Tamandua tetradactyla: one gene and its partners. The protein of the gene in region 2 purifies or fractionates together with the protein of the main gene of each other region. This does not show direct contact. Links are inferred from orthologs where the notes say so. Each region holds a gene or a part of one and is shown on either strand. Other genes may lie near its edges. The genes, in order: DAXX, CBX5, MBD1 and AHDC1.

Region 1 (7,450 bases), on a different chromosome or scaffold from region 2:
TGAGGGGGTGCTAGGGGAAAAGAGGAGGAAGGGAAGGGTCTCAAACAGATAGCTTATGGCCAATAGAGTAGAGGAAACTAACATTTGGCGAGAATGTTTCCCTAACATACCTGTTTCCTCCTCCTCCTCCTCTTCATCATCCCCCTGACCTTCCTGCATCTGTTCCAGATCCTCCTCTTCAGAATCTGTAACCTCCTCCTCTTCTTCCTCTTCTTCCATCTCTTCATCACTTTCCTCATCTTCTTCCTCATCTGTCTCAGCCTTGGAGGTGGTAGGGCACTCCTGGGATGCTATTCCACTAGGGCCCTGGGGACGAAGGAGTTTCTCTAAGGAATCACTTGCCCCAGAGGTTCCAGTCTTTGATTTCCTTCTGCACTTTACCCCATCAATCACCCTGGACTTCTGGGTGGCTAGTACAAGGGTGGCTATAGCCTCTCTGGAGGGAATGTCCCTCCCATACCTCGCCAGAATCCAAGGAGGGTTTGGGGGAGTCTGCAGAGTGGGAAGAAGCGCCTTGGGGAAGCCGGGCTCTTCTCTTCTGTCTCTCACCCTCCTCGCTCTTTTCTTGCATCATTGCGTATTTGGAGATGACCTCATCTAGCCGGCTCATGGCCAAACTTCGGTTTTCCCGAAGGCGCCGGGCCAGGGCAGGATCTGACAGTGCGGGGTCAATGCCTATGTGGGAAAATATAAAGTCAGAGAACTAAACTCAAACACTAGAAGGAAGGACTAGAGAGTTGCCCCTTCGGCCACACACCTGACATATAAGGGTCACTGATAGGCATCCTGCTAACCTCCTACCTGGCCTATAGTCATCTGTGAGATGGCAGCCGAAGTTATAGATGAGATCGAGGTGACGTCGTTCCTGTAACCTGATGCCCACATCTCGGAAGGCATCCTGAGCCATGAGCTGGAGCTGCTGTCGGGGGAGGCCGAGACTGTGGCGAGCAGCTGCCTTCTCTACGGCCTTTAGTACATCTCCATAGTCAGGAAAAGTATCAGGCCCTGGTTTGTTGATGAGCCGCTCAATGCGCCTGTTAACCTCTGGGTAGCGGGTGCCACGGTAGGGGATGCGCTGCTCTATGACACGGCCTGTGAGTGAAGAGCAGTCTTTCAGTTCACATAAGCGCCCAAAGAGGCGGATCAGCTTACGCTTTAACCGAGATTCCTGCAGGTATGTGGAATCCGGGTCGTCCAGTTCTGAGAGATCCAGCTCCTTCTCCTGCAGCCGTCGGATCTCTGCCACATAGAGCGCCAGCAGCTGCTCCAAGCGCTGGATCTGCCGCCGGGAACCACGGGTCCTTGGGGCCTCAGAGGCAGAGGTCTCAGCATTTGTGGGTTCCGAAGAGGGGTTTGTGGCAGGGTTATCCCCAGAGGGCTCAACAGAGGTGGTGGTAGCAGGGGCCAGGTTCAGCTTCTTCTTGGATGAGTGAGCCTTGAGAACAGTGCAGAGCTCATTGATGTAGACATAGAGCTTAGCTGGCCGGCTCTGGGCCCGAGACAGGACCCGAGAGAGGATGTTGCAGAATTCCGCTGAGGCCAAAAACAGAGAATGGGCACGCTGCTGCCGGTTAGAGAGGAATGGGACCACCTCAGGGTGGTCCGCCGTCTGCTTCTTACACAGTTCAAGGAACTGGAGGGTACAGGGAGAGAGGGAAGGGGAAAGAGACAAGGGAGGGGGTTGAGAGAAAAAAGGGAGCGTGGGATTAATGGGAAAGAAAGGACAGATGAGCCAATCAGCCATCCCCCTCCCTGAGATACACGAATCTTCTCCCCTAAAGCTCACCTCTTCAAACAGCTTCTCATTCTCCAACTTGTAGCATTTCTTGCCGCCCGAACTACTGCTTCCTCCAGCCCCACGGGGCTCGGAGGAGCCAGGGGCTTCTGCCTGGCGTGAGGCCAGACTGGGGGGTGGGTGGGAGGGACCTGGCTGAGCAGCTGCTTCATCTTCGTCATCATCATCCAGCACGATGATGCTGTTAGCGGTGGCCATGGGGGATCAAATCCCCCGGAGGGTGGAAGTGTTGGGGATTTCGGAAATCCTGCTGGAAGGGGATGGGGCCTTAGAAAGAGCCCCTCCAGCACAGCCCCATCCCTTCATCTCACACATTTCCAATCTTCTTGGGTTTCAATTACACTCAGCCCTGCCCAACTCCTCACTGCTTATTTTCAGCAACCATTAGTTTCATATGCTTTTCATGTCCTTCACCTATTGGGGCCCCAAACCACCGCCAAACCTTAAGTCCCCACCCCCAGCTCCACCCCTCAAGCCGATTTCCGGTCTCTTCCTTGCATTTCTCCACTGTTTTCTCACAGTTGGCAAGTTGATTCTTCATCCCAGCCCCAGGACCACCTCCCACACTGGATCCCAGATTTCTTTGACACCACCTTGCTGATACCACACCCCCATCGGCGCCACCCCAGGTGTTTTTTCCCCTTTTGCCATCAAACACGTAAAATCTGTACCTCCACCCCATCCTGAATTATCAGCCTAACTCCCAGACCCTGCAGGTAAAAGATGGACCCTTCCAACAACCCTTTCTCCTCCTTGAATTATCTCTATATTTCAACCTCTAATAGGTCCCCTCGAACCCACAGGAGATATTTCACCACGAATCCCCTTCCTCTCACCCCACTCTAATTTCCCCCATTTTCTCTCAGTGACCCGTAACTGCTCGTGAGCCCCGCACTGGGCTCTCCCGATTCCTCTCATCCCAACCTTGGGTCGGGTCCTTCCCTGGGTGAGCTTCCCGCCAAGTCCCCCTCCCCCAGTTCAGCTCCTAGCCACCCCGCTCCCCCTCAAGCATAGGAAGGTACCACAGCTTGCCCTTCAGGTTCAGAGCCCGGGCCTCCCCACTACCTGTCCCCCGATATCCCCGCCCCCACTCCCCACACCGTCCGGCCCCCACCTCAGAAACGGTCTCTCGAGGCGACCCTCGCCGCGGATCTCAGAACCTCGCATGGTTCCCTCCGCCTTCCTTCCCCCTCCCACCGCGGGCCCCACTCAGGACCGGAAGCCGCCGAGTTTCCGCCTACATGCACCTAGTGGCGGCCATCTTGTCGTACGGAAACCTGTTTTCCTGTGGCCGGAAGTAACTGTACGCCTTCCACCCGGGACCTCCGAGTGCCGCCCAGGTTGTCTGCGGTTCCCTTTCCTGTGATCTGTAGGGGGCGGGGTTTTGTCCCTGCAGGGCGTCCTAAAGCACCCGGGAACTACCATTTTGCCGTACGGCGCTGGCTCAGCGCGGCCAGCTGATCTCTTTTCACCCGGTGCTTCTGCGACTCCGCCAATCAGAAACTTCCTGCCTCGGGCACAATCGGCAGCGAGTAGCGTGCAGGGAGGATTAAGCCACCTTTCCAACTGGGGGAGGGCACGCGGGGATGGAACAGGATGGATAAGGAGTTAAGTTCTTCAAGGCTGCTCAGGAGTCACGGAGGGATGGGGGTCTCTTAAGATGGAAATGAAACCTTTTCCTTCCGCTAGGCTATTAAGCCTTCCGGCCTTGCTTTCGTATCTCCCAGGTACCATGTGCACAGCATAATCAGCCGTGCCAGCCCCTCCCCTTCCAAGAGCTGAGCGCTCCCTTGCCGCTGTCCAGCAGCTACTTCTACATCAAGATGCCTACATCTCCCAATCGTGAGATCATAATACAAGCATACAAATGAGCACAACGCGCTATAGGATTGTTATTGTTATTATTGCTGTTGCTTTGCTTTTCAAGCTCCACAGAAATTAAGCAGATGGGACCTGGTGGTTCTCCGTCCCTCTCTTGGGGGTCCCCGAAGCGCGGGCGGTGCTGACCAGGAGGCTGTGCTTTGTGGAAGAGCCCCAGGGCCTGAGGATGAACGATGGTGCGGCAGCTTTGAGGGGAATCTGTGCAAATCCACTGTGAGGGTTGTGAGACGAAATGAGGCTTGTGAAAAACCTCGGGTCTAGTCTCCTTTTCCTCTGGGAGAGCTGAGGAAAGAACGAAGGAAAAGAAACCGCCTGTGACACCCACCTTACCCCCGCCCCAACCTCGCCCGGCGTTAGGAAGGCCTGAGAGACTGATGGAGCCAGGGCGGGGTCCAGAGTTGAATTTATGGGGAAACCAGATATTTTTCCTGGTTAAGTTAACATCGCCCCAGTCTCTGAACTTCCCACCTACATGCTTGCGCATTCCACAAGTGGGCATTTTTCCACTTTCCAGGACTGCAGAGGTCCTTACGTCCCCCGTGCCATCAGAATCCCAGAACTTTAAAGCCTCCGCCCATTAAAGAATCCCACATACTACTTATCTCCAGTTTTTTAAACCTATAGTCTTCAAAATGGGAAACTTGAAAACCCCCCAAAGGGTATTCAGAAATGGAAGATTTAAAGGGTTTAATGTCCAAATCCTCAACTTTCCCAAAACTAGTCTTCCTGAGTAAGCCCCTGCAATAGAGGTTTCCCTTCATCCCTTCTCCTTTTCAATACACTTTCTTCCTCAAAAGAAAAGGAAGTATAGCTTTCAATCATGAAATCACTTGGGGTAATATTACTCTGTCTCAAAGAGACAGGTAACCTATTTCCTTTATCAAAGCTGTAAATGCCACTTTGTCTATTCCATTAGACATGTATTTTTTTTACTTTTAATAATTATAAAAATTTGCAAAATCTTTATGTTGCTTTGATCAATTTTATTCTAATAATAATTGTAATAACCCAACCCAGAAGAAAAATTGTCAACATCTAGAGCTTATAGTCACAAGAAAGAAAAATATTTTTCATTTTAATTAATGTATATATACATGCATTAAAGTATATAGGTTGATCGATAAGAGACTTTCAAGTATAAAAATATAAAATTATCTGGGAATGGGGTAGTAGAATGGTAATAGTAGTTCATGGAGAAAAGGAGATAATGAAGAAAGGAAAAGCAGATTCTCAACTGCTAAAGAAAAACTTCTTAATGTATTTTTTAATGGGTGCTTGTGGGTTTCAAGTTGCTATGGTATTTCAATAATTTTGAAAAAGTTAATATTTCCTCACATACCTTTAAATAGGCAGCTAAAATTTTTCATTATAAATTAAAATTGTTTCAAGGATGTAATTCTTGGCATATTGGAAATATTTGCATTTTAAAATAAAAACAAAAGGGTGGTTTAATATGTGAGGAAGTATTGACTTTCAAAATTATTTCAGGGAGCGTAATGCAAATATTTTAAGACTGCTCTGAGCTATCCAAGTAGCCATTTTGCAGCCCCCTACACTCCCATTTCCCTCCTGTCTCCCCTCTCACCTCCGTGGCAGAGAAAAAGGATATTTATGGAAAGGTGGTCACAATTCCAGCTCCTCCTCCTTCTCAGGTGTGCCCAGGAGCCAGTCCCCAAATTTTGCCCAAGGTAGTGGCCACAGCAATTTATAGGCAGCCTCCAGCATCAGCAGTGCCAAAAAAAGGGCCAGGAAGATAAATAAAGCCTTGTCCAAGGCCCGACACACAGGACCCCTGGTTGGAGTTGGACCATGGGCAAATGCCAGGAACACATCTTCCTCATCCACATTGCCTTCTTCTTCTGCCATCCTGACCCACAGTCTGACAGCTGGCTGAATTAGGGAGTCTGGGATGGAAGCCTTGGCTCAGCACTCCCGGGATTAAGGCAGACTGTGGTGCTGGCCATGAGTTCTGCACCTGTCTACCATGACCCGAATTCCCTCACCCAAGAAGGAGAAAGGAAAGAAGAGGCTCTGAGCCTTTGGGAACAGTCATTTAATCATCCAGTGCAATGTGAACAGGAATCATCCAATGCAAACCACAGAATCATAGGACAGTAAAACTGGACAGCACTTTAGGGATCGTGTAGTCCAGATCCCTAAGTCCTGTCCAGTTTTATTGTCCTATGGTTCTGTGGTTTGGAAACTGAAGATCCAACATGCAAGCTGTAAAGAACAGGCAGCTGAACTGCCCAAATCATTCTGGATCTCTAGGCTCAGGGCCTTAGAACCCTACATATAGGAGGTAAGCAAGTGGACCTAATGAACTAATGTAAGCCTCTGACAGTCTAGGAAGGGACTAGATCTTTAGATGGCTTCTGCAGCCCCTTCCAGTTTAACAGTGTGTATGTGGGAGGGGCACAACTATCTGAGAAGGGTGGTGGCAAGCAGCCAGGTCTCTTCTGTACAGACATATCCTACACACACACACACACACACACACACACACACACACACACTCACGTCTCCAGTGGCTGACACGTTTAGTTAAAATGTAGAGCACTGTCTTCTGAACTTAAGGCCTCTGCAGTGTGAAAGAAGGGTTATGAATAGGCTTTATGGACCCAGGGCTACCTTACCCAAACCTCCTTTTTTTAAAAAATATTTTTATTATGAAATATAACAGATACAGAAAACAATAAATTTCAAAGTACATTGTAACAAGTAGCTAAAGAACAGATTTCAGAGTTTGGTATGGGTTACAATTCCACAATTTTAGAGTTTTATTCCTAGCTGCTCCAAGACACTGGAGACTGAAAGAAGCATCAGTATATAATTCATTTGTTAAATTCCATCTTCTTTGTTATAACTCTTTCTTCTCTTCTGATTCTTCTCCCAATCTTTAGGGGTATTTGGGCTATGCCTACTCTAACTTTTTCATGTTGGAAAGGAGTTTCAATAATATAGGATGGGAGATGGAACTACTTGCTGTTATTGGAGAAGCTGCTCTCTGGATTTCAGGACTTATCTGGCCTAGGAAACCATCTGGAGGTCGTAGATTTCTGGAAAATAATCTTAGAGTATGAAACTTTTGTAGAATCTCCACTAAAGCCCTAGGTGTTCTTTAGGTTTAACAGGAATGGTTTTGGTTGGGGTTTGGCAAACCCTGCTAATTAGCAATTTCTAGCTAAAGGTAGCATAAGAGTAGCCTCCAGAATAGCTTCTCAACTATATTTGAACTTTCTTATATACTATTATCTTATTTTGTAACATTTTTCCCCCCTTTTGGTCAGGAAGGCATTGTCAATCCTACAATGCCAGGGCCAGGCTCATCCCTAGGAGTCATGTCCCACATTCCCAGGGAAGCTTTGACCACTGGGTGTCATGGAGGGGGGAAGGTAATAATTTTCCATTACAGAGTTGGGCTTAGAGAAAGAAAGAGAGGCCACATCTGAGCAACAAAAGAGGTTTTCTGGAAGTAACTCTAAGGCATAACCATAGGTAGATTTAGTTTCTCCACTACAGAAATAGGCTTCATAAAAGCAAGCCTCAAGATCAAGGGTTTGCAGAAGGAAAGATAGACAATAAAGACTGAGGTGGTATAATCTAGGAATGCTTAGAATGTACAATGACAGTGGCTAAATGTAAAAATTAAATAATGTTTTTGCATGAGGAAGAACAATGGAATGTCAATATTGAGGGGTGTTGGGCGGGCCATGGTGGCTTCTCAGGCAGAGTTCTTGCCTGCCATGCTGGAGACCCAGGTTTGATTCTGGT
Region 2 (6,900 bases):
GTAAAAAACACTCACTAATCCTCCTCAGAAGACTTTGTTCCCTGGATACCTTTCCCTCCCTTCAGCACTATTGTCAAGGACTCTCAGAATTTCCAGAACTCTCCCAGACATATAAAAATCCAGTCACTTCAGATGTTCCTTCTTTCTCTTTCCCCAACCATTATCCTGTTCACTATCTAGATAGAAGCTTTCTACTTATTAGCTTTCAGACAGATCAGGGAAAATGTGTTATTTTTCCCTTGTAGTGAATAAACCTTTTAGGTATTGCTTTGTATGCCTTAAAGCTAAGCACAAGTGTTTGAAGAATCCACTCAGAGAGGAATCTACGGACGTGGCACAATTTGGTTATCTATTTTTCATATCAAAGTTTTGGTGGGGGTTTTCCCCCCACCAAAACTGTGGTTCTATACATGGTGATAAGCTGTGAAATCAAATCAGTTCAGTAGAAAAATGGAACTTCATTTTTTACTAAATGTAATAGTATACTATAAATGAGAAATATCAGAGTGCTTTGCCCATGTATTTAGTAGAACTTGTGTACATGGACAGTGTAAAATGTATTTCTTTCTAAGTAAACATATTTCTTTTCTAAAATGTATTAAAAAGTTTTGGAGTCATTGATCAAAAAGATTCTCAGGAAAGAGGCTTAAATCAAGTGAAAACCTAAGAACCATCTATAATTTATGATTATTTTAGGAAGTCCAACAAACACAAAATATAATTAACCAATATGTTTAAAATGTAATAATCGTAAAAACCTGAACGAAATTTTCCTTTTATCCAATGGAACACTGATCAAGACTATCGGAAGAGATTATCCAAGAGCTAATTACTAGGATTTAGTGCTCCATTTACCACCAAAGGCCACTCCCTAAACACTTCAGCCACTTCTTCCCTCCTTTACCTAATTTCAAATTGTTAAAATGTTTTGACAATTCTAGCATCTGCCATATTTTAGAGCACTGATTTTCCACAGGGGAAGATTTTGAGCCCCATCTCCACCCCTCAAGACATCGGACAATGTCTAGAGACATTGTGATTGTTGCAATTTGGGGTAGGGTGAGAAGCTACTGTATTTTAGTGGGTAGAGGCCAGGCATGCTGCTAAACATCCTTCAATGCTCAAGACAGCCCTCTACAGCAAAGAATTACCCAGCTCAAAATGTCTTGTGCTGAGGCTGAATTTGAGATCAAAATAGTATTCCTTTCAAACCTAAACAAACTGGAGACAAATATCCTTAACCTCACTTCAGTTCTTAAAAAGAAAGCAGCTGCATCATTATCATACATACAATTAGGTTTGCGACCATAAAATAAACACCTTGAAGGAAATATAATCAAAAGGCAATGAATTATCTGTTTAATGGATCTTCCTTTCCCCAACAGTCTAAATATCATTCTCCTTAACTTCCTTATACAAATACAAAAATTCTCAAAAAGAACAGCAAAAAGAGGTGTTCAAAAATCTCTAGGGTTGTAAAAAATCTCTAGGGGCACTCCTCAGAAAAAAACTAAGATAAAGGACAGGGTCATGGATAATCCTTATAAAGCACTTAGCATTATGCTTAGCCCTACTAAGTACTCAAAAAAAAGTTACTTATTTTCATACCGAAAAATCACCTTAGTTAAGGGGAAAACAACACTCTTTAGAGGTTGAAAAGGGGTGGTGAGAAGTAGGTGATTATGACTGGAATACCAAAAAAAAAAAAAACCAACTGCATTTATTTTTTATTTTATTTAATTTTGGTAACATATATACAAACAATTTCTCATTTTAACCACTTTCATGTGCACAATTCAAACAATTACATTCACAATATTATGCTACCATTACCATCATATCCATGACATACCTTTATTTTTGTAAATTTAACTTTAAATTCCAAATTATTGTCCCTGCGAAGATTTAAACACTAGGGATAAACACTTAAGTGCCCACGGACCAACCCAACCCGCCCTATCCCACCGTGTTCCAAGAGATAAATAACATACTTTGGTGTCTAGCTTTCCAAAAACTTTTTCCATGGATTTATAAACGTATCTAATTTGTCCGTAAAATATGCATTATTATTTTGTAGATGTATCTCGATGTCTTTCCATAACTGTATACAGAGATGTATCTTATTCGTTTTAGCATTTTGTCAGTCTTCCTAAAGAAGCGAATTCCCAAAGTCAAAAGGCCTCCACGGCTCCCCCCAAAACCTAAAAAGTGGTGGACGATGGGGTGAAAAAAATACCAACAAACGTATGGTTTCCCTACCAAGCAAGTGAATGGGATGGAGATCTAAACTAGCATTCATTAGAAAAGACATTGTGGATAAAATACCCACTCTCGCACGCCATCACTAGCATTGATCCCCCTTCCTTGCACCCCCAAATCTCAGCCCTCCCTCTCTTGGTACGCTGATTGGACCACCAGCCCGAGCGCTTTCCTTAGGCTGTCTGCCTACTGGTTCCAGATCTGGTCCATCCATGTAGCCGCCCGACTCCCACATTCCCCATTGGAGTCGAACGGCTGCCTCTTGCAGAAGCCCAACCTACCGCGCGCTTCCTACTCATTGGCTCAGTGAAACGCTGCTCAGGAGGCGAAAACCCGTCTCCCACATTCCGATGGCCCAAAGACCGATCAGTCAGTAGGTAAAGGGAGAGCCAATAGGTCTATATACCCGCCAGTCAAACTCTTCAGCTGCCCAACTCTAAAACCCTACAGGGCTAAAACATCCCGCCCCCTGATCTTCTATTGGTTAGCTGGGCCCACCGCTCCCCCTTCCCTAACCCCCACCCCGCGATCCATTCATTTCACACAATAACGGGCCCAACTGGAGTCGGTTCAAGACCTCGTATGGCTAGACTAGATTGTCTGCCACTTACCCGGGATGTAGAGCGATCACTCACGCTAACGTCTTCTCTATCCCTCTGTGGTGAGGTCCGACTACTGGCCACAGCTGCCGCCGCCTTCTGCGCAACGCCAACCGCCCGCCAAAACGGATCCTTTCCTGCGCCTGCGCGACCAATCCTGGGACCGGACCCTTTCTCCGCCCATTGCGCCTGCGCAAAAAGGGGCAAAAAAACTCCCGCCATTACGCAGGCGCTCTAGGGTCAACGCCCTCTCCCGTCCGCCATTTCGCGTGTTCCAAGCGGCAGCCGGAACTTCTTAATGCGCCTGCGTAAACTCGCCATTTTCTTACACATGCGCTTTGAAGGGGGTTGGTGCAAAAAAAAAGGTACATGTTAACTACCTGTCTTAATACAGTATGAAGCGTGATTTTCCAAGTCAATCGAATGTAATAACTGGGGTGTTAATAATTAAAAAGCATTTTAAACAGTCTATGTACGTTCAAATATGAATGACTGGTAGGCTAGCCAATCAGACAGGTTAAGAATAATATTACTCAGGAACCAATGGATTCTAAGGGGAGGAGCTGCGTAGAACGCCCAAACGGATGACGTTGCATAGCAATGCGGCAAGACAGGCCAATCGTAGAAAGAAGTAATTTCAGATATCCAATCATAGCTAAGAGGGGGCGGAACCCACCAATGCTGAAAGTGAGGAGGCGGGATAAAAGGGAGAGGCAGAAGGTAGGTTGGCATATAGTTTCGTTAGCTTACTCCTTTCTGCTCTTGGACGCCGCTGGGGAAGCATCGTTGAAGTCATTCCTCTCACTGCCGTCATGTCCAAGTCAGAGGTAAATTCTCTTTTCAACTTCACTGTCTCTATCGACCTTTCCTAAGTTCTTTAGGATTCGGCTTCGTTTCGGTGCTTGCAGCAGCCCATCCAACGATTCCTTCCGTAGCTGCCAGGGCCTACCCCTCCCAAAGTTCGGGTCGCCATTTTGTCCTCGTCGTCGCCATGAGGCCGGTTTCCGGCAACCATTACTTATTACAACGGGCTCATGCTAACGCCTGGTAAAATACTTAGATCTGTCCAATCTTTTTGGTTTTGTTTAAGCTTGTCTCGGCGTTCTAATTTCTTGACAATTTTTCGTCCCTTACTGGCGACGCACCCCTCCCGCCCCCTGCTTTTGTTGCGCGTGCGTCGGGAGGAGAATAGGGACGCATGCGCTTATGGCCTTCCATCCGCAACAAGCCGTCCCTGAGAGGGAAAAGCACATGGTTTGTCGCGGCTTGAAAGAACAATAAGTGCAATGTATGCTAGCGGCTAATTTTGCCCCTCCTGTCTGTAAGATTTCCACTTGATACTTATCCACTCACTCCTAGTCTCCTAAAGAGCCTGAACAGCTGCGGAAGCTCTTCATCGGAGGGTTAAGCTTTGAAACAACCGATGAAAGTCTGAGGAGCCATTTTGAGCAATGGGGAACGCTCACGGACTGTGTGGTAAGACTTGGAAGGGGTAAAAAGGGTAGTAAAACCTGGTAGATGTCCTAGGGCTACACTGTTAATTTGAATGCCTATGAAGTTAATAGGATTAGTGTTTTTAAATAGATTGGTCAAGGAAGGTGTGGCTTTTTGTTAATGACTTAATTAAGGTCTCTTTTTAAAAATCTAGGGTGGTGGGAAACGAGAGTTTTATGGTCTCCCTACTATAAACTTGCCTGTTAAACGTAATCAACGTTTGACAGTTTCTGGGAACTTTAAGTCAATTAAAACCTTTCTCAGGTAATGAGAGATCCAAACACCAAACGCTCCCGAGGCTTTGGGTTTGTCACCTACGCCACTGTGGAGGAGGTGGATGCAGCCATGAATGCAAGGCCACATAAAGTGGATGGAAGAGTTGTGGAACCAAAGAGGGCTGTCTCAAGAGAAGTAAGTGTGTTTTACTTTCCTTAGTCATTTGGAAATGTGTTATTAGATGTTTCAGATTTGTGAGAGTTGTGGGATTTTTTTTTAAGTAACTGACAAGGTTTTCTTCCGGTTAGGATTCTCAAAGACCAGGTGCCCACTTAACTGTGAAAAAGATCTTTGTTGGTGGCATTAAAGAAGACACTGAAGAACATCACCTAAGAGATTATTTTGAGCAGTATGGGAAAATTGAAGTGATTGAAATCATGACCGACCGAGGCAGTGGCAAGAAGAGAGGCTTTGCTTTTGTAACCTTTGACGACCATGACTCTGTGGATAAGATTGTCAGTAAGTATCAGATGACTGAGACTAAGAGTTCCAAAATCCATGTGTTCCTTAGGGTCACCTTTTTATCTTTTCTGTTTTTAGTTCAGAAATACCATACTGTGAATGGCCATAACTGTGAAGTAAGGAAAGCCCTGTCTAAGCAAGAGATGGCCAGTGCTTCATCCAGCCAAAGAGGTCTGTGTTACTTAATTCAACCTTATTAAGTAATTCTGAGTAATCTCAATTTGTATGGCTTAACGTTTTCTTTCCTTACAAGGTCGAAGTGGTTCTGGAAACTTCGGTGGTGGTCGTGGAGGTGGTTTTGGTGGGAATGACAACTTTGGTCGTGGAGGAAATTTCAGTGGTCGTGGTATGTATGGTTGAAGTTTACTAAGAATAAGCTTGTGATTTAATTAACTCAGATAAGTGGTAGTATGTATCTACTGGCCTTTATTTTCAAAGTTACTAATTTATCCAAATGTAGTGCTTGTTTCTCCTTAACCAAAAGTTTAAAACCCTTTGGCATAGAAATTATAGTTTCTTTTTCAGAATAAGTGGTTCATATACTCAAGCCTAATTGTATTAACATTCTGCTTTCTTCTAGGTGGTTTTGGTGGCAGCCGAGGTGGTGGTGGATATGGTGGCAGTGGGGATGGCTATAATGGCTTTGGTAATGATGGTGAGTTTTAATTTAAGGAATATGTGGGTAACCTGTTTTAGATTAGGATAGTAGAGGCTAACACTAGTGCGGGACAACTTCAGTTGTCACCATAAACTGCATGTTGTGAGTGAGCCTTTGTGCTTACACAGATTTTAATAGTTGAATACTTAGAGAAGAATTGTATTCTTGTAGGTGGTTATGGAGGAGGCGGCCCTGGTTACTCTGGAGGAAGCAGAGGCTATGGAAGTGGTGGACAGGGTTATGGCAACCAGGGCAGTGGCTATGGCGGGAGTGGCAGCTATGACAGCTATAACAACGGAGGCGGCTTTGGCGGTGGTAGTGGTAGGTATCCAGTGATCAAAGTATTTGGTGTGAGGGCTAGACTAGCCTCTTAGTTTATAGCTATATTGGGATTTGATGCTCTTAAAAGGCATTAGATGATCTGCTGCATGGTATGTTTTTAAATGGGCTTGCTGTGCTACCTCCTCCTAGCTTTAAGCTGGGGCCGCCTCACTCACAAATAGATAAGTGGATAGTGATGTCTTCAGCTGGAGTTAGATTAGCTTCCATAGCAGGGTTGTATTTTAACTCTCCTTTGGGAACTTAGGTACTGGTTGAGTAATCCAAGAAAGCTGCTTATAGTGATTCAATGCCACTATAAAAACTCTGAAATCTTTTAGGTTATGGTAATTGGAACTATCTAAAGTACTGGATTGGTCAACTGAATGCCTTACCCAGAGAAGATGAAATAACAAGGATGACCAGAGCTTGGTAGTCGGGCAAATGATAAACCTTGTTTCACTTCAGAACACTAAACAGACAAAGGACTTGTTTTCTTTCCTAGGAAGCAATTTTGGAGGTGGTGGAAACTACAATGATTTTGGCAGTTACAACAATCAGTCTTCAAATTTTGGACCCATGAAGGGAGGAAATTTTGGAGGCAGAAGTTCTGGCCCCTATGGTGGTGGAGGCCAATATTTTGCCAAACCACGAAACCAAGGTATGATACAAACCTGTAGTATTGGAAGAATTAAGTATAGCTGTGCCTAGTATTGATAAGGGATGCCTTGAAGTTTTGTTTTCTTTTGTCTTATCTTTAACACAAGGTAGTATGCATAGGCTTAAAAACTTGCCTTATATATTAAAAGCTCAGATTTTAAGTATACTTGAAAT
Region 3 (7,313 bases), on a different chromosome or scaffold from region 2:
AAATAAGCACAAATAGCAACAAAAAATACATAAATGTTAATCTGCAAACTAAGTATACAAAGATTATAACACAAAATACAAGAATCAGAAATAAGTATATTAAAAACACAGATATGCAAATAGTTACAATCACACAGAACACAAAGTACAAGTAATCTATGTTGGAGACAATTTTCCATGGATCTCTTGCATTTCTGCATATCTTGCAGAAGAGACACTGATTGCCTTTTGTTATGGACTATCTTTTCAAGGATGTCTGTCAAAGACAGGGTCTCCTTCTAGAGCAAAAGGCATGTTTACTGTTCATTCTATAAAAAATCTGATTCCCTAAGCTTAAGGTTCATCTTCTATAACACACCCACTGCACGAGCATCTTTATATCACCCTGAGGGAAATGGGGTTCAGGGAACTGGTGCAAAAATGATGATGTTCTCGGTAATGTTGCTGCTGTGAATAATAAACTGTTTTCCATTTCTTAACCAAGAGTCTCTCTCTCCTACCAGCACCCACAGAACTGTGACACATTCACTTATTATATTATCCTATTACAGTAAACTTAGACTCTTCAATTTCTTGACAATTTCACTTACATTTACTTATTAGTTTTGAAAGTTTTATACAAGTAAGTAAACATTCAGATTGGCTTATAGCAGTACAAATAAAAAGTAAATGTCTTTATAATATTACTACGTTTTACTAGAACGCTGGCAACTCAGAAACAAAAAAAGTTCAAGAAGGATATAGAAAGTTAATAACTACATCACTAATATACTCTAAAGCATGTGTTTTGTTTATAACCATACATGCTTATATACTTACAAGCTGAATTATAATCCTACCTATACAACATCCCCCAACTCCACCCTACCCCTAACTAGGATCAGCCCTATCCCTGACTCTGCCCACAACCCACCCAAGTACCTCTGGTAATAGGTGTCTGAACGCCCACAGGTGGCCCCTGACTTGCGAAAGACCTCACGACGCTTCCAGCCAGGGCCCAGGGCTGGGCAATCCAGCCAGTCCTCAGCCATAGGAATCACAGGAAGGGGCAGCGGCCTACAAGGTAAGGTGGGCAAAGTGAGGTTCTAGGAAGAGAGGACCTGTGCTCTAGGCCACACATAGCCCTGGTATCCATTAAGATCTGCCCAGGAACTGTTAAATACAATTAGCCTATCAAAGGAAGAGAAAACCCTCCACTCTTACCCAATTCTTCCCTGTCCCAGGCCCACTTCTCCCCATTCTTGAACAGGTAGCCACTATTTTTCCTCATTCTTGAACCACAGGCCTTCATTCTTCCATCTGTGTTCTGATCTCCCCATCTTTACCTAAAACTGTCACTTCTCCCCATTGCCAACCCAGGAATCTTCCATTCTTTCCCTCATTCCTCCCCATTTCTCCCTGTCCTTGGCCTAGGACTATTCCCAATGACCTAAAGACCCCCAATTCTCCCCTTTGTCAGTCTGAAACCCCTGTATTCGCCATCTTTAGCCCAACAGGTCCCTATTTCCTCATCCCTAGGCAGAGTTCCTTAGTACTCTTAGTGTTTTAACCTCCCATTCCTTTACCTTCTTGAACTAGGAGTCCCCCAATTTCTTTCCTTCAGTGTTTCAACCCTCCCATCCTTCCCCTCTGCCTGGTTGCCTCTTAACCTTCTATCTCAGTGTTATGAGCTCGATTTCCTCTGCATTTCTGTTAAGAGAGCTCCCAACTCCAACATATCCTTAGCCTGCACAGCCTCCCCTTCCTCAGCCCCAAGCGTTCTCCTATTATTTTCCCTCCCCATCACTGTTCTGACCCAGTCTAAGCGGGAAAACCTCCCCATTCCTCTTCTCCACAGCCAACAAGTGCTTTACTACTCCCCTTCACTCTCGTATTCTCTGTTCCTCACTCATCAGCCTGGGACCCTGATTTCTCCCTTCAACATCTGACCACCCTTCCCTAATTCCTTTCCCTTCTCATCCTACGATGCAATCCCTAACTGATAGCGTCCTGAACCCCTATTCCTCCTCGTCCTCCATATGAGACCCCCGCTCCATTCCCTCCTTTTGCCACTCCGACGCTCCCACTCCTTCCGGTCATCTGACTGAGGGCCCCTTATTCTTCACTCTCAAGACTTCTGGACCCCATTCTGTCTCAAGCTGAGAGACCCCGATTTCTCCCCCTCAGGGTTCTGAACCGCTCCCTCCAGCCCCCATTTCTCTCTGTCCTTGTTCCAAGATCCCGACACTCCTACCGGTCAGCGTTCTTAGCCCCATTCCTCTCTAACCCCCGCCTGAAACCCCCCAATTTCTCTCCTTCAGTATTTCGATGCCGCCATTTCTCCCCCTCATCGGCATGAGGGCCCTTCATTACTCTCCGACAGCGTTCTGGGACCCAATTCCTCGCCATCCTCCGCCTGATGGCCCTCTACTTTCACCCGCACGGCTGTCTCACCAGCTCGGCGCCGGGCCGGTAGTTTCCGCCGCCCTAGGCCCACGGATCCATGGCGGGGTTCCCGCCCGCCCCTCCCGCCTTGCCCTACTCTTCTTCCTCCTCCGCAGCAGCCGCCTCCGAAGCTGTAGCTGTCGCCGCCGCGGCTGTTCGTTGCTCCCGGAACCGGAAATCCGCTGTCCGCCTCTCAGGCTCCGGCCCCAGAGAAACGCCTGCGCGCTGATGCCTCACCAGCGCGCGCCCTTAGATGGGAAGCTTCTACGCCTGCGTGCTGACGACCAAAGCGGCGCTCTCCCCTTCCTGGGGACCTGCTGCGCTGGCGCGCTGAGAACCCACAATTGGGCACGCCCCTCTCCTAGGTATATCCCGGGTCTACACGCTGATGTCCAGCTAGGCTCGCGCTTCTGTTTGGGATCTGCAGCGCCTGCGCTCCTCACTTTCCCAGCCGGCGCCTTCTTTTTCTCACTCCGCCCACTTCTTTTGCGCCTGCGCTCCAGATCTAAACCGAAGGGGGCGTGAAGGACTAAGGGTGCGCCTGCGCATCCGTCCAGCGGCGTGCTTCGTCTTCTGCCAGATGTTAACATCTAAGCTCTTGGTTCCCTTCAACTATTTACTCGAGTGCGCGAGCAAGAGGGGCGTGTCAGGGGCCGGGCTTACGCTTACGCACTCCCTTTCCCTGACAGTGCCCTCCTTTTCCACCTCTATCTGAGATCGCTCCTGTATTCCCCGGTCCCTCCAACCATCTCACCCTGGTCTGTTAAGTCTGGCACTCTCCTCCCTCGGACACTAGTTATGCGGCGATCAGATCCCAGCTCCTTTCGCGATAACACTGGGAAAGGGATGGTGCCGCAATACAGGTAAAACAGTGGGCATACACCATGCAACCGAATGAGGGCGTGCCCGGTACCCAAAAGCCATTCTGTGGGGCCATAATATACTTCACAACGGGTGACAGCGGAGCTGGGACTTCCATCAAAAACCGAACGGGTTCCTCAAGTCTCAAGAAGAGTTTACGGGGGGGGGGGGGGGGGGAGCAAGGAGGCCTTGCATCCACCGTCGAATACACCTCTGGTCTGGAGAATATTAACGTTCACACAGTAGCTGGTAAGTCAGCCACACACTGAATGAGCGCTGACTATACCCAGTGTCCCAACAACAGAATGTGAACAGGTTACTGTCGCCAACAGCCCAAGGGGTTCCTGAAGATCAGCTTAAGGGCCAACCGCATGCTTGCTCACTACACATGTACTGCAGCCCCTCCTGAGTATACAGGTGTGTCACTGCCCATCTTCTCAGGGATTGGGGAATGCAGTTTCAGCCACAGACGAGTTTAGAGGTCATCAGGAATTCTCTTCCTTGCTTCTTCCAAATTTTATTAACAAAACTCAGTGAGGAGGGAGGGAGGATAACATGGGCAGACTCCATGGTCTGACCCAGGCACAGAGGATGTAGAAACAAAGGGATAAGACAAATCCAAGGGGAAATACTGAGATCCTCTGGTCAGGGCAGATGGGCAGTCAAATGATGGATGGGCAGAAGTAGAAACTCAGGGACCGTCGCAGAAACAGATGAATGAAGAAACAGACATATGGAGAATTCAGAGTGGCTCCCCGCCTGGAATGCAGGGTGTGAAGGGACCTGGGCAGGTGAGGCTCAGCGGTCAGCACTGGAACGGAGGTCAGTAGTGAGTGGGTCATGCTGGATCGTTTGGTGCAACATCAGGGCCAGCAACCCTGCCCGGTTTGTCATGGCTGTGCGCACATTGCGCTCTTGCTCAAACAGCTCATCTAGCTTGTACCACTGTAGGAAAAATGTGGGGCCATGAAACGGGGCTCCTGAAGCCCTGCCTCTCCCCACATCCAGCCCCAAAACCTACCACGCGCACACGTTCCAGATCCACTTCAGCACGCCGTAACTTCTCCCAACAGTAATGCCGGTTGCACTGACGCTTGGGTAGGCGGCAGAAGTCACCTGTGAGCTCAAAGACATCACGTACAAGGGGACACCCACATACCTCATCGGCTGGCACCTGCAGGGAGACCAGGGTTGGGGATGGAAGGTGGTAAGGCAAGGAGGAAGGTAAGAATGGGGTTGGTCAAGGAGGGAGGAGGAAAAGAATGAAGAACAGAAAGTAGGGAAGAGTGGGGAGGCAGGAAAAAGGGGAGGAATAGAGGACAATGACTACAAAGTAGAAGAATACAGATTGCTCAGGCAGGGAGGTGGGAAGTCAAGCAAAGAAGATGAAGAAGGGTCTGTGAGGAAAGCAAGAATGGAGGATGGTCTGGGAAGACAGGGAAGAATGGAAGATGATGAGGCAGGAAAAAAGTTAAGAATAGAGGCAGTGAGGAAGGAAAAAGGAATGAAGGGTGATGAGGTGAGGGATACTGGGAGGAATAGGGGGGTGAGGAGGCAGGGAAAATGGGTAGAATGGAAGGTGGTCAGGTAAGAAAAAGGGAAGGAAGGTAGGAAAGTCAGGAAAGAAGGGATGAATGTGGGGCAGAAAGGCAGGGAAAGAATTGGAGATGATGAAGGGAAACCTTACTTTGGGGTCGCGTGAATGCTCAGGGCACAGCACCTGAAGTCGTTTACAGTATGTCTTACTCTGAGGATTGTAGACATCACAAAAGAGTCGCGTGGCCCTAAGGGTTTGGAGCAGAGAGAGAGTGGTGGAGGGAAAGAAGGAAGACCCCACCTAACCTTGCCCATGCCCATGTCCTGCCCCATCTTCACTCACATTCCACTCCTGACTCCAACTACAACCCCTTTCTAACTCCACGTGGCGCCCACACTCACCCCTCAATGCGTGTGGGGTACATGGACCCAAAGGACGTCTGGCTCTCGTACTGGAGGGATGAGCACAAATGGACGGAAGTGTGGATGTGTGCTGCATGCCCTCCCAAAACAATACCCAGAAAACAAATTCTATCTCCCAAGGGCCCACTGATATTCCCACACCAACTGCCCCCTCAGGCTGACACCCTGACCTTGGCATAACAGCGCTCCATGTGGCGCAAGGCAACACGTGGGTTGATGGGGTGCCCACAGGAGACACAGAAGATCTGCAGGTCTGTATCATCACTGTCACCCTCGTTGCTCTGCATGGGGTGGAAGAAACGATGAGACCAAGCAGGACCAAATGCTGAACCCTGCCCTGCTGTGCCCACACTTGCTCACCTCCTCATCCTCACGCACAGCCTGCTGCTTGGCACGTAGAATGATGGCCTCAAGCTCATGGAATCGGCGCTCCATTTCCTGAAGGCGGGTGCGGGCACTCTGCTGCTCACGACGAATGCGTTCAAGCAGCTTCTTGCCATGCTCCTCAGCAATGCAAGGGCTCTGCTGCCACTGTTGGATGCGCTGGGGCAGGATCTCATAGATGCGGCTGCAGGGTGGCAGTGGGTGAGATGCAGGCATAAAAGGTAGTAAGCAACAAGATGCATAAGTGGGGTGGTGGTCAGAGGATGGCAAAATGGCAAAGTGACTAAATGGTGGATAGGTGGAAGGAAGGATGAGTAGGTAGGTGGATAGGCGGGTATTTGGTTGACTGAATAGTGGACAGGTGACTCATCAGTAGACACATAGATGACTTACTTGGCTGCCAACTTCATGCCGCAGTCATCTGAGCAATACTTGGAACCAGGCTGGGCAGGACGTACACAACCAGGTCCCAGGCACTGTGGTAGTGATGCAGGATCCTTAGCATCTGGCCGCTCAGGGTGTTTCCATTTGTCCTTGTGCTTCTGCTTCTGCCGATGTCGCTTATATCTCTCCTCTTTCTGTAGGGCAAGGCAGGTGAGATCAAAGTAGGGTCGAGTCAGCCCCAGAACCTTGCTCCCCCTCCATTCCACCCTTTTCCTTCTCAGAGGAAGCCCCTGACCTCTGGCTTCCTGAAGCCCATTCTACCCACTCCATCACCTTTTTCTCAGACTTCTTCTCCCGACGCTTCACATGCTTCACTTTTACTGCTCTCTTCCGCAGTGCAGGGTCCAGGAATGGGGACTCCTCTGTGTCACTCATCCAGGGCTGCAAGTGGAGGCATGAAGAGACCTCTCTGCCCCACTTACGACAACCCCATCAACTACTCATTTCCAAATCGGCCTTCCATTCCTTCTATTCTCTCTCCCCTTACTATGAATACTCTCTGCTTCTGTAACCCACACCCTTCCACCACAGGATACTCCAGCCTGCTCACCAGGCCGTGGTCATCAAAGGCTCCTGCACAGAAGTCCTGATACAGGTCTGGATCCAGTGGTAGGTCCTCGTCAGAGAGTGGCTCAGGTGTGGCTGTAGCCTCAGGTGGCTCCTTGATTGTTGATGATACCATTGCTCCTTCATCCTCACGGATGCGTCCCAGCTTCTGTGATGGCTGTGGCTGCTGTTGGGTGGGCAGTGGGCGGCGGGGCCTTGGCAAGGACTCTGAGGGCGTCACTGGCGAGAGCTGAGGGGCAGAATCTCAGGACTGGCCCTGACCGCCCTGCCCGCATGCCCCGCCCCACCCTGGGGGGCTGGACTCACCGAGGTAGGGAAGTACTTGTACGATTCCTGTGCCGGCAGGAGGAAGGCCCAGGTCAGCCCCAGGTGGATAGGGGGTGGCCCCACCCTAGCCCCCTCCCACAAGTGCCTGTCCCACCCACCTAGCTCTGCCTTGCCTCCCCAGACATAACTGGTTCCAGCCCTCCCACCAAGACATGCTCAACCCTGTTCCAATTGCCCTGACAGTTCAAACACCTAGAAATACCTGGTCCCACCTACCCACTCAAACATACCCAAGACTGGGGGGAGGGGGGACCCTGCTACCAGCCCAGCACACCTGGTCATGCCACATCAATTTGGACATGCCAAGCTCCTTCTCACTTGCCTGGATACAAACAGACCCCACCCGA
Region 4 (7,796 bases), on a different chromosome or scaffold from region 2:
ATGGATTTTATTACAGAAAATAAATATCAGCACGTGGGCTGGGAGCCCAGGCGGGGGGAAAGAGCCCACCAGGGAATGTCCCTTGAGGGCTTGGGCACAGCTTAGGCACCGACCAGGGAGGTGGCCGAGAGTCCAGACTAGACCCTGGGGTGTGTGTGTGTGGGGGGAGTACCCAGGGAGGGGCAATGTCTGACTACAAGGAAGAAAAGGGTCACTGGTTTGGACTCATGCCCACTGGTCCCCCAAAGCCCATCCCCTCCTGGGTCTTTGCATCCTCTGAAGGGTGGGAAACTCGGGTGAGAAGTTCACCAGTCCCTGGGGGTTACTCCAACTATTGACATAGCAGGATAAAAAAATAAATTTGACTTACTATCCAGTTTGATTTTCCATTACTATAAAAATAAATATACATCTGTTCAAAGGAGGGAGATGGCAAGAGGCATGTATATGCCACCTGGGGGGTTCCCCCTACAACAGCTCACCACCACAACCCAGCCTGGCACCTCCAAGCCAGGAGCCATGGGAGGGGTGGACGGACTGGTGATCTTTCACTCCCAGCCCAGCTCACCCAGCCGCAGACGCACGGGCCACATAGAACTGGAACAAGCCAACAATAGAAACACCCCAAATGCTCCTGGCAGGATTCTGCCCAGGCCTGGGCACATGCCCCCGCCCCGCCAGCAGCGGCAGCAGCAGCGGACAAAATGTGGCCACCCTGACCCGGAGGCAAAGCTTGTCCTCATACCCTGAGCTCTGCCCAGGGAGCTGGGGCCAAGTCCCGCCTGACACCAACTGGTCCGGCGGGAAACGCCTGCCCAGCCAGACGGGCACAGGCCCCCCAAAGGTCCCTCCTCGTGTTCAGGGACCCACGCTGGTGCAGCACTGCCCTGCCTCCCAGGGTGACGCCTGGGCTCGAATTCAGCTGGCCCTGCCAGTCAGGCACTGGTGCAGAACTGAGGGCACTAGGCTCAGCCCCTCCCAGCCCAGCCCCAGGGCCCCCAAGCTGGGCGGGAGGGGGACTCCCCACCCCTCCACATCTGGCCCTGGCCCCCAGGGTCTGCGGTAGAGAATTCCCGCCCCCGCTTCTCTCTCCCTCCTCCCTCTCGGTGCCCGCTGCCTGCCTCAGGGACAGCCCCAGCTCCCGCCTCCGGCCAGCAAGGCCCACATCCTTCCTCCCTCAGCTGACCCCTATGCCTGGCAGGAGGCTGGGGGGGGGTCAGGCTGCTGGGGCACCCCCCCAACTCCCATCAGACCTCATATCCAGCCCCCAAACTCTGGGTTGCTGTCCCTTTTCCTGTAGAACAGGAAACAAGGTTATTTCCTAGACTCAGAGCCAGCCCCCTGCCCCTCTGGCTCTGCCGGGGGACCCAGACCCAGCATGGGAAGGCGCCTTCAGCCAGAAAGCAGAGGGATTCAGCAATTTACCCCCAGCTCGGGCCCAGGGGGCTGACAGCTGTCACTCAGCACCCCACCCCCTGGGGAAGAGGGGACCGATTCAATCAGGGCCCCAGAGGAAACGCATTGATAGGCGATTATTTATTTATTTATGCAAAAGTGAGCCGACTTTGTTCGCCAGGTAACCGGGCACGCGGCCCAAACCCTCCGGCTTTGGCCGCCCCCAAAAGCCTCCTCCGCCCCACAACCCCTCCGGGTCATTAGGTCCCCGCCCCTCAACTCCCAAAGCACCAGCGGAACCTTGGGATTTAGGGATTGAAGGGGAGGGGCTCCTCTCTCCGCAGTCTCCCGTCTCTCCAACGCCGATCCTAAAATCCAGCCTTGTTCTCCGCTCCCACGGTCCCCCCTTCATCCCCCCCCATTCCCAGCAAGCTGGAGAGCAAATTGCAGTTTTAAATCCAAAGGCGGAGGGAGGGGGAAGGAGGAGGGGGCGCGCGGCAGCGCTGGGCGCGCACCTCGCCCCCGAGCCTGGGGAGCCGTGGGGCGGCCAGGAAACCCGAGAACCCCCCCTCCCAACCCCCCCTCCCCGTCCGCCTCCCCCTCCCCCTTCCCGGCGCTGCCTGCCAGGCTTCGAGCCGAGCCCAGCCGAGCCGCGGGCCCCGGCGGAAACAAAGACCGATCGCACCGCGGGCACCGCAGCCACCGGGTCCGGCTGACCCGACCGAGGGGCGCGGAGGGGGCGCGGGGTCCCCCCTGGTGCGCTGTACAAAAGAGCCCAACCGGCGGGTCCCCAGTGAGGGACTGGGGTTGGGGAAGAGGCGCCACTCACCGGAGTGCTGGGCTGCCGGCTCCGTGGGTCCGAGCCAGGCGGAGGGCTTTGGGGGGCGTCCGTCTTCCGGCGGCGGCAGCGACGCGGGCGCCCGGCTGCTGGGGAGAGGAGTCGTGGAGGAGCCCTGAGCCGCCCGCCGTCGCTGACAGCATGGCTCGCGCCTGGGTTCACATTCTCCGCCGCTAACTCCGCTGGACACGGCCCCCCGCTCCCGCGGCGCCCCCCCCCACCTCGATCACTCCTTCGCTCTCTCTGCGCCCCCCCTCGTTCCCCCCCACCGCGCACACACTCTCACAGCCCTGGACACCCCCGCCCCCACCTCCCCAATTGCAAACCTGGGAGGGAACGCGCCCCGCGTAGTCCTCCTGCTTCTCTGCTCCTCCTCCTCCGCCCTCCTCCCTCCCGCTCTCTCTGGCTGTCTGTCTGTCTCTCTCTGACTATCTCTATCTCTCGCTCTCTCTGCCTTTCTCTGCTCTCCGAGCTGGGTGGGAAAAGGAAATGAGGACAGAAAGCAGACGCTGGCTTTGGGTGGTGGTAGCTGGATTCCCTCTCTCCCTCCCTCCGCCTCCTCCCCTCCCTCCTCCTGCCTTCTGCTCTCTCGGCTGCGAGCGGGGCTGAGCGCAGCCTGGCGGGTGGCTCGCTCTGCCCGCCCGCCCGCCTGTCTGTCTGTCTGGTCTGCCTCGCTCGCTCCCTCCCTCCGTCTCTCGCCCTCGCCCTGCCTGCCTGCTTCTCTCCGTCTCCGCTGCCGCCGCCGCTGCCTCTGCGAGCTCGCCTTACCTTCACCGCTCACCATCCGGAACCCCAGGGGGGAGCGCGCGCACGGCACGCCGGGACTTGTAGTCCTCGCCCCGGCCGCGCGGCGCTCGGGGCGGGCGGGGCCTAGCGGGCAGCTCCGACGGCGCGGTCCGGAGCTGGCGGCGAACCCTAGCGCCCCGGCGCCTCCAGTGGGAGCGCGTTCGGGCTTACTGAGGGGCGCCGACCCTCCCCAAAGATTGGGAATGTTCTCCACGTCCCGTGTCTCCGCCGGGGTGCTCTGGCTGGAGCGGAGTTGCGGGTGGTGGCGAAGGGGCGGGGTCTGGGGACGGAATGGGACTCGAATAGAGAATAGGGGGCGCAACCAAAGGGGCTGCGGCTTTCTGAGGCACCGAAATTAAATTGGAGGAGAAGAAGAGAGAGGGAAGGACCGGCTCTCTGAATTTGGGGACGAGCTCCTTTTCTGAATAGGTTACCTATTGAGTAAAGCGCCAGGGCTTATGGCGGGAGGGCCGCTGAGGAAACCTCAAAGCCCCAGTCAGCTCCCCCTTTCCACCTAGTGACCACCCTCCGCCCCCGCCCCATTTCAAGCTCTGAGCTGCCGCTTTAGGCCCTCCAAAGCCTAGTTTTTCTAAAAGCCCAAGGGCGGGGAGTGCGCAAAAAACCTGATTCATCCACAGATAACCACCCCCCCACACTTCCCCCTGCCCCTGCCCCTGCCCCCACCTTGCAGAATTCGACTGAGCGTTTACAATGTATCTGGAAACAGGATTCAGATTCAACAGTTCGGAGCCCCTGCTGCGGCTGGGGGCTGGGCTCAGCACTTTCACCTACGTCTTCTTCAGGTCACATCTGTTATCCAGCCCCTGCCTCAGGGCCCCCCGCCTGGCCTACCCCGCCGATGGGAATGTGCACTGCTGCTGCTGAGGGCCTGGTTACCATGGGGAGGCGGCAGGACAGCCCGGGAAGGAGAATTGCCGCGGCTGCCATTTACTGGGCACCGCAGGGCTCTTGAGTCTTGCAACAACCGGCTGAAATGGTACTGTTATTATCATTTCCATTTTAGAGATGAGGGCATTAAGGAAGTGATGACAATTAGGAAAAGGTGGAACCCAGCTGATTCCAAAGCCCATGTGCTTGACTCCTGGGCTAAATACACGAGGCAGGGAGTTGTTACTCTCTGCCTGACCTTCTCTTCTGCGTCTGTGTGTCCTCTCTTGGCACTTCAATTCAACAAATGTTAACTGAGGTATGCAGGGCTTGCAGCGGACACGGAAATGAATAATGCATGGTCGCTGTCCTATCCTCAATGTCTACCAACCGTGCCCTGACTGGTCCTATGCTTGCCCCACCTCGTCCGTGTGCTTGACATTCCTTTGCTCCCTGTCTGCTGGCTTTGTCTGTCTTGCTCTGTGTCTGAAGTTACTCTGGCAGCACCTTTGTCCTGAGTCCACCTGTTTCTGACTCCTCCTTTGGTCCTGCAAAGTGAAGACCAACGTGTGACAAAGACATGTCTTGACATTTTGCTAACTGCAGCTCCCTAGTACCACCTTCCCCACACTTCCACCTCTCCCAAGCCTTGTAGTCTTACCCTCCTCTAAGACAACCTAGTCTCCCCAGAGGACAAAAGAGGGAGTCTGGGGAGCACTTACTATTGGTCCTTCCTAAGGAGGGGGGTGGGACTGCAGCAGAAGAGGTCTAAGGTTCTAAGCTGTACCACTATTGATTTAGTATCTTGGGGCTGGCATGCAAGCAGCTTCCCTTTGCAGACAAGACGGACCTTGGGTTCAAAGATTTATTCATTGAACATGAGAATTATATGGTCAGGAAGCACTAGTTAAAACCATCAGAGGCTTAAGTGATGAGGTGCAGAGGGAGAGGTAGTAGGACCCAAAACTGGATGCATGAAGTTAGATGGGATTTTCCAAGCACAACCTTCCTGTCCCGGGCTGCTTCAGTTGTCCCCTCCCAAGAAAAAGTGGGTTCTTTTAGCCTCCAAAATGTTGGATATCCTGGAACCCAAGCATTACAGGTTTTCCCTGTCGTTTGGGGGGCTCGTCTTTCTCTTGGAGCCTCTCTAAATTGTGTTGGGGGGTGGTGGTGGAGGGATCTGCAAGCTCATAGTCTTCCTGTGGGCTGCTGCTGCCACCTAGTGACCTAACTCTGTGTCTGCTCTGAAAGTGTAGGCTAAAAGGGTTCCCAGTTCTTTAACCCAGTTCTTTAAAACAGGGTTCCAGGTCACCACAGTTGGGCAGGACAATTGTAAACTCCAGGAGAAAGGAGACTTAAGGGGACCCAGGTTCTAGAATGCCTTCATCATCCCTTTCAGGCCCAGCTCACTCCAACCGCTTTTGATATGTGAGCAGAAGGTGGCATAGCTGTACTTCAGGGAATATGGGTGAGAGTTTAGATTATAAAGGTGTACGCCTCAGGGTTTGGAGGGAGACAGACCTGGTTCTGATAATTTTACTTGCTGGGTGTGTTTTCACCTGAGTCTCAGTTTCCACATGCAAAATAGAGGTAGTGGTCCCTTTACTGTCTACAGATAGGGCAATTGGGAAAATTAACTGGGCACATGGGTGTGAAAACACTTTGAAAACTGACAAGGGCACAGTGAGGGATTATTGCATCATGATAATAATGACAGTCACCGAGAGGCTGGGGCAGAGTGAAATGGGCTTTTGGTAGCAACAGGCGCTGCACTCCCCTGCCACCCCACCCCCACCCCACCCGGGAGTCCCCAACTACAGGAAATGCTGGGACTAGTCTCCTTATTGGGGCTGCCTCAGGGGAGATGTGCATTGCTAGAGAGTGAGTCAGCCCAGTTCACAGAAAGGGAGACTGAGGCCTAGAGAGGTTGAGGGCCCGCCCCGAGTCACTGAGCTGCAGATCAAAGAACAAGAAGCACCTTGGACTGAAGCCATTGTGGCCCCAGCTTCCCCACCTCTGAATGGGAGCAGCTCAGAGCTGGGGTCCAGAAACCATGAAAGCAGAAAGCCCCCTTCATTGTGGGAAAGTGGGGGCTCAGGCCCTCATTATCCCTCCTTCCTGGCAGGCCCTTCTCCCTTCCCCCTGCAAGTCCTCCCACATTCCTCCAGGCAACAGGAAACCCCAGCTGCAGCCCAGACTTCAAACAGCTCCTCCCTCTGGGCAGGGGGTGTGGGAGGAGAGGCCAGAGGCCAGAGGGCAAAGGTCAGCTTTGTTCCTGCCGGAGGTGATGAGGGACCCAGAGGAGACAGAGGGGGGCAGGGTAGGGCCCTTGACAGCTACACCGCATGTGAGAATTCCTGTGTCCATCAGGGTGTGTGTGATGGCTCCTGCTATCCAGGGAGAAATTTGTGTGTTCTCAGTTTCCATTCATGGACCTGAGTTATGTGGATGAGTGTATATGAAAACATCCATGTTTGTCTGTGGGTGCTCAGTCTGTGTTATTGCGTGTATTGACATATCTGGTTCACAGGCCTGGCCAAAGCTATGTGTCGTCCTAAGTGTGATATGGTATGGGTCTTTGTACCTAAGAGAAATGTCCCTCTCCTGCCTCTTTCCCTCTCATTCTTCCTCCTTCTTTGGTCGCCAGAGAGTTCCTTCTGAAAGAATTTGACCTTGTACTCCCCTGCTCATAACACTTCGGTGGCTTCCCATTGCCCAAGATTTGGAGTCACATCCCCCATGCATGGCAGGCAAGGCCCATGCCTACCTCTCCTTCTTCATCTTCAACCCTTAACCCCATCAGATTTTATACTCCAGTCACACCTGTCTGATTGTAACTCTGGGCAGCCCTACATCCTGCCTCTGAGCTTTGCTCACTTAATTCCCCATCAAGTCTGGAATGTCTTTCTCTCCCTCCTTACCAAGTAAACTCCTACTCTTTTTTTAAGTCTTGAGTGGAGCATCACCTCCTCTGAAGCATCACTGGACCCTATCCAACTGAGTTAGGACCCTCCCCTGCTCTCACAACACACCCTGCACTACCATTTTCTACCTGTGTTTGCTTCTCATGCCACACTCCCCTACCACCACCACCAGTGTGTTGAGGGCAGAAACTATGCTGCGGTGGGAAAGTTTTGAAGGGACGTACCATCCCTGGGGAGTTTCCTGCAGTTTGTGGTGTAGTACCCAGAGTGGACACTAGAGGGAGAGTGAACATCACTGCAGGATGGTCCAGGCTTGGGGTTGTGGATGGGCCAGGGGAAGGGGTGAAATCTTGGACCCTATACACAGGAGGGAATTACTGGAATGGATAGAAGATCCAACCAGCATTCTACTGGAACAGTGAGATCCAGGACAGACTCTTGTGAAATGGGTCCTGGACTTCTGGATTTCTGACTTTTCCTGCAACATGGGGGTCTGCCCCTTTGTTATTCCCCTCCTACCTTTTACCTTGCCCCCTTCCTTCTGACCCTCCAACCTTCTTCCAGGCTTATCTTCACCCTTGGCCTTCACATACGTAATTTCCTGAACTTGTCTGAATGGCCCTTGCTCCTCTATACCTTTGCACATGCTGTTCCCGCACCAGAAGATGCCTCCATCCACTGACTGCTTCATTAGGCAGACTTTTCTTTCACATCCTCGAAGAAGCCTCCCTTGGCCCCCAAACTGACCTTGCCCCTGAGAGTTATAATTGTTAGCTGTTCTGCCTCCTGGACAGGACTGGCCTACAGGCAGTATCAGTTAAGTGTGGAATTCATAAATGTTCTTTTACAAGTACAATCCTTGGCATGTATGAGGCCACTCTAGACCCTTATCTGCATGGTGTCCTCCCTGGACCTGACACAGGGTCAGTATCATGCTCTGCCACGCTGCTCCATGGAGCAGTGGG

What was found.
Region 1: the proteins of CBX5 (region 2) and DAXX purify together in Homo sapiens (affinity purification with mass spectrometry; 3 studies listed by BioGRID and IntAct, with this or other methods). This does not show direct contact. The link is inferred for Tamandua tetradactyla from reciprocal best matches to the Homo sapiens genes CBX5 and DAXX.
Region 3: the proteins of CBX5 (region 2) and MBD1 purify together in Homo sapiens (affinity purification with western blotting; 3 studies listed by BioGRID and IntAct, with this or other methods). This does not show direct contact. The link is inferred for Tamandua tetradactyla from reciprocal best matches to the Homo sapiens genes CBX5 and MBD1.
Region 4: the proteins of CBX5 (region 2) and AHDC1 purify together in Homo sapiens (affinity purification with mass spectrometry; 3 studies listed by BioGRID and IntAct, with this or other methods). This does not show direct contact. The link is inferred for Tamandua tetradactyla from reciprocal best matches to the Homo sapiens genes CBX5 and AHDC1.

Annotation. Positions count from the first base shown.
Region 1 is NC_135331.1:89,253,935-89,261,384, forward strand, and holds the start of DAXX (death domain-associated protein 6), read right to left. Parts: upstream 3,016-7,450; 5' UTR 2,910-3,015; intron 2,864-2,909; exon of another isoform or gene 2,818-2,863; intron 2,046-2,817; 5' UTR 1,994-2,045; coding exon 1,787-1,993; intron 1,634-1,786; coding exon 802-1,633; intron 676-801; coding exon 461-675; intron 307-460; coding exon 111-306; intron 1-110. Other genes in the region: SMIM40 (small integral membrane protein 40), read right to left, coding at 5,300-5,542. UniProt on the Homo sapiens protein: Transcription corepressor known to repress transcriptional potential of several sumoylated transcription factors. Down-regulates basal and activated transcription.
Region 2 is NC_135333.1:115,670,108-115,677,007, forward strand, and holds the start of CBX5 (chromobox protein homolog 5), read right to left. Parts: upstream 3,018-6,900; 5' UTR 2,871-3,017; intron 1-2,870. Other genes in the region: HNRNPA1 (heterogeneous nuclear ribonucleoprotein A1), read left to right, coding at 3,671-3,685, 4,218-4,334, 4,617-4,763, 4,877-5,087, 5,169-5,261, 5,344-5,436, 5,671-5,745, 5,920-6,069 and 1 more. UniProt on the Homo sapiens protein: Component of heterochromatin that recognizes and binds histone H3 tails methylated at 'Lys-9' (H3K9me), leading to epigenetic repression. In contrast, it is excluded from chromatin when 'Tyr-41' of histone H3 is phosphorylated (H3Y41ph).
Region 3 is NC_135344.1:32,380,162-32,387,474, reverse strand, and holds the start of MBD1 (methyl-CpG-binding domain protein 1), read right to left. Parts: upstream 3,006-7,313; 5' UTR 2,434-3,005; intron 1,057-2,433; 5' UTR 1,032-1,056; coding exon 922-1,031; intron 1-921. Other genes in the region: CXXC1 (CXXC-type zinc finger protein 1), read right to left, coding at 4,084-4,230, 4,307-4,459, 4,973-5,069, 5,224-5,273, 5,415-5,525, 5,605-5,812, 6,022-6,206, 6,346-6,453 and 2 more. UniProt on the Homo sapiens protein: Transcriptional repressor that binds CpG islands in promoters where the DNA is methylated at position 5 of cytosine within CpG dinucleotides. Binding is abolished by the presence of 7-mG that is produced by DNA damage by methylmethanesulfonate (MMS).
Region 4 is NC_135328.1:198,675,601-198,683,396, reverse strand, and holds the start of AHDC1 (transcription factor Gibbin), read right to left. Parts: upstream 3,020-7,796; 5' UTR 3,002-3,019; exon of another isoform or gene 2,560-3,001; intron 2,323-2,559; 5' UTR 2,225-2,322; intron 1-2,224. UniProt on the Homo sapiens protein: Transcription factor required for the proper patterning of the epidermis, which plays a key role in early epithelial morphogenesis. Directly binds promoter and enhancer regions and acts by maintaining local enhancer-promoter chromatin architecture.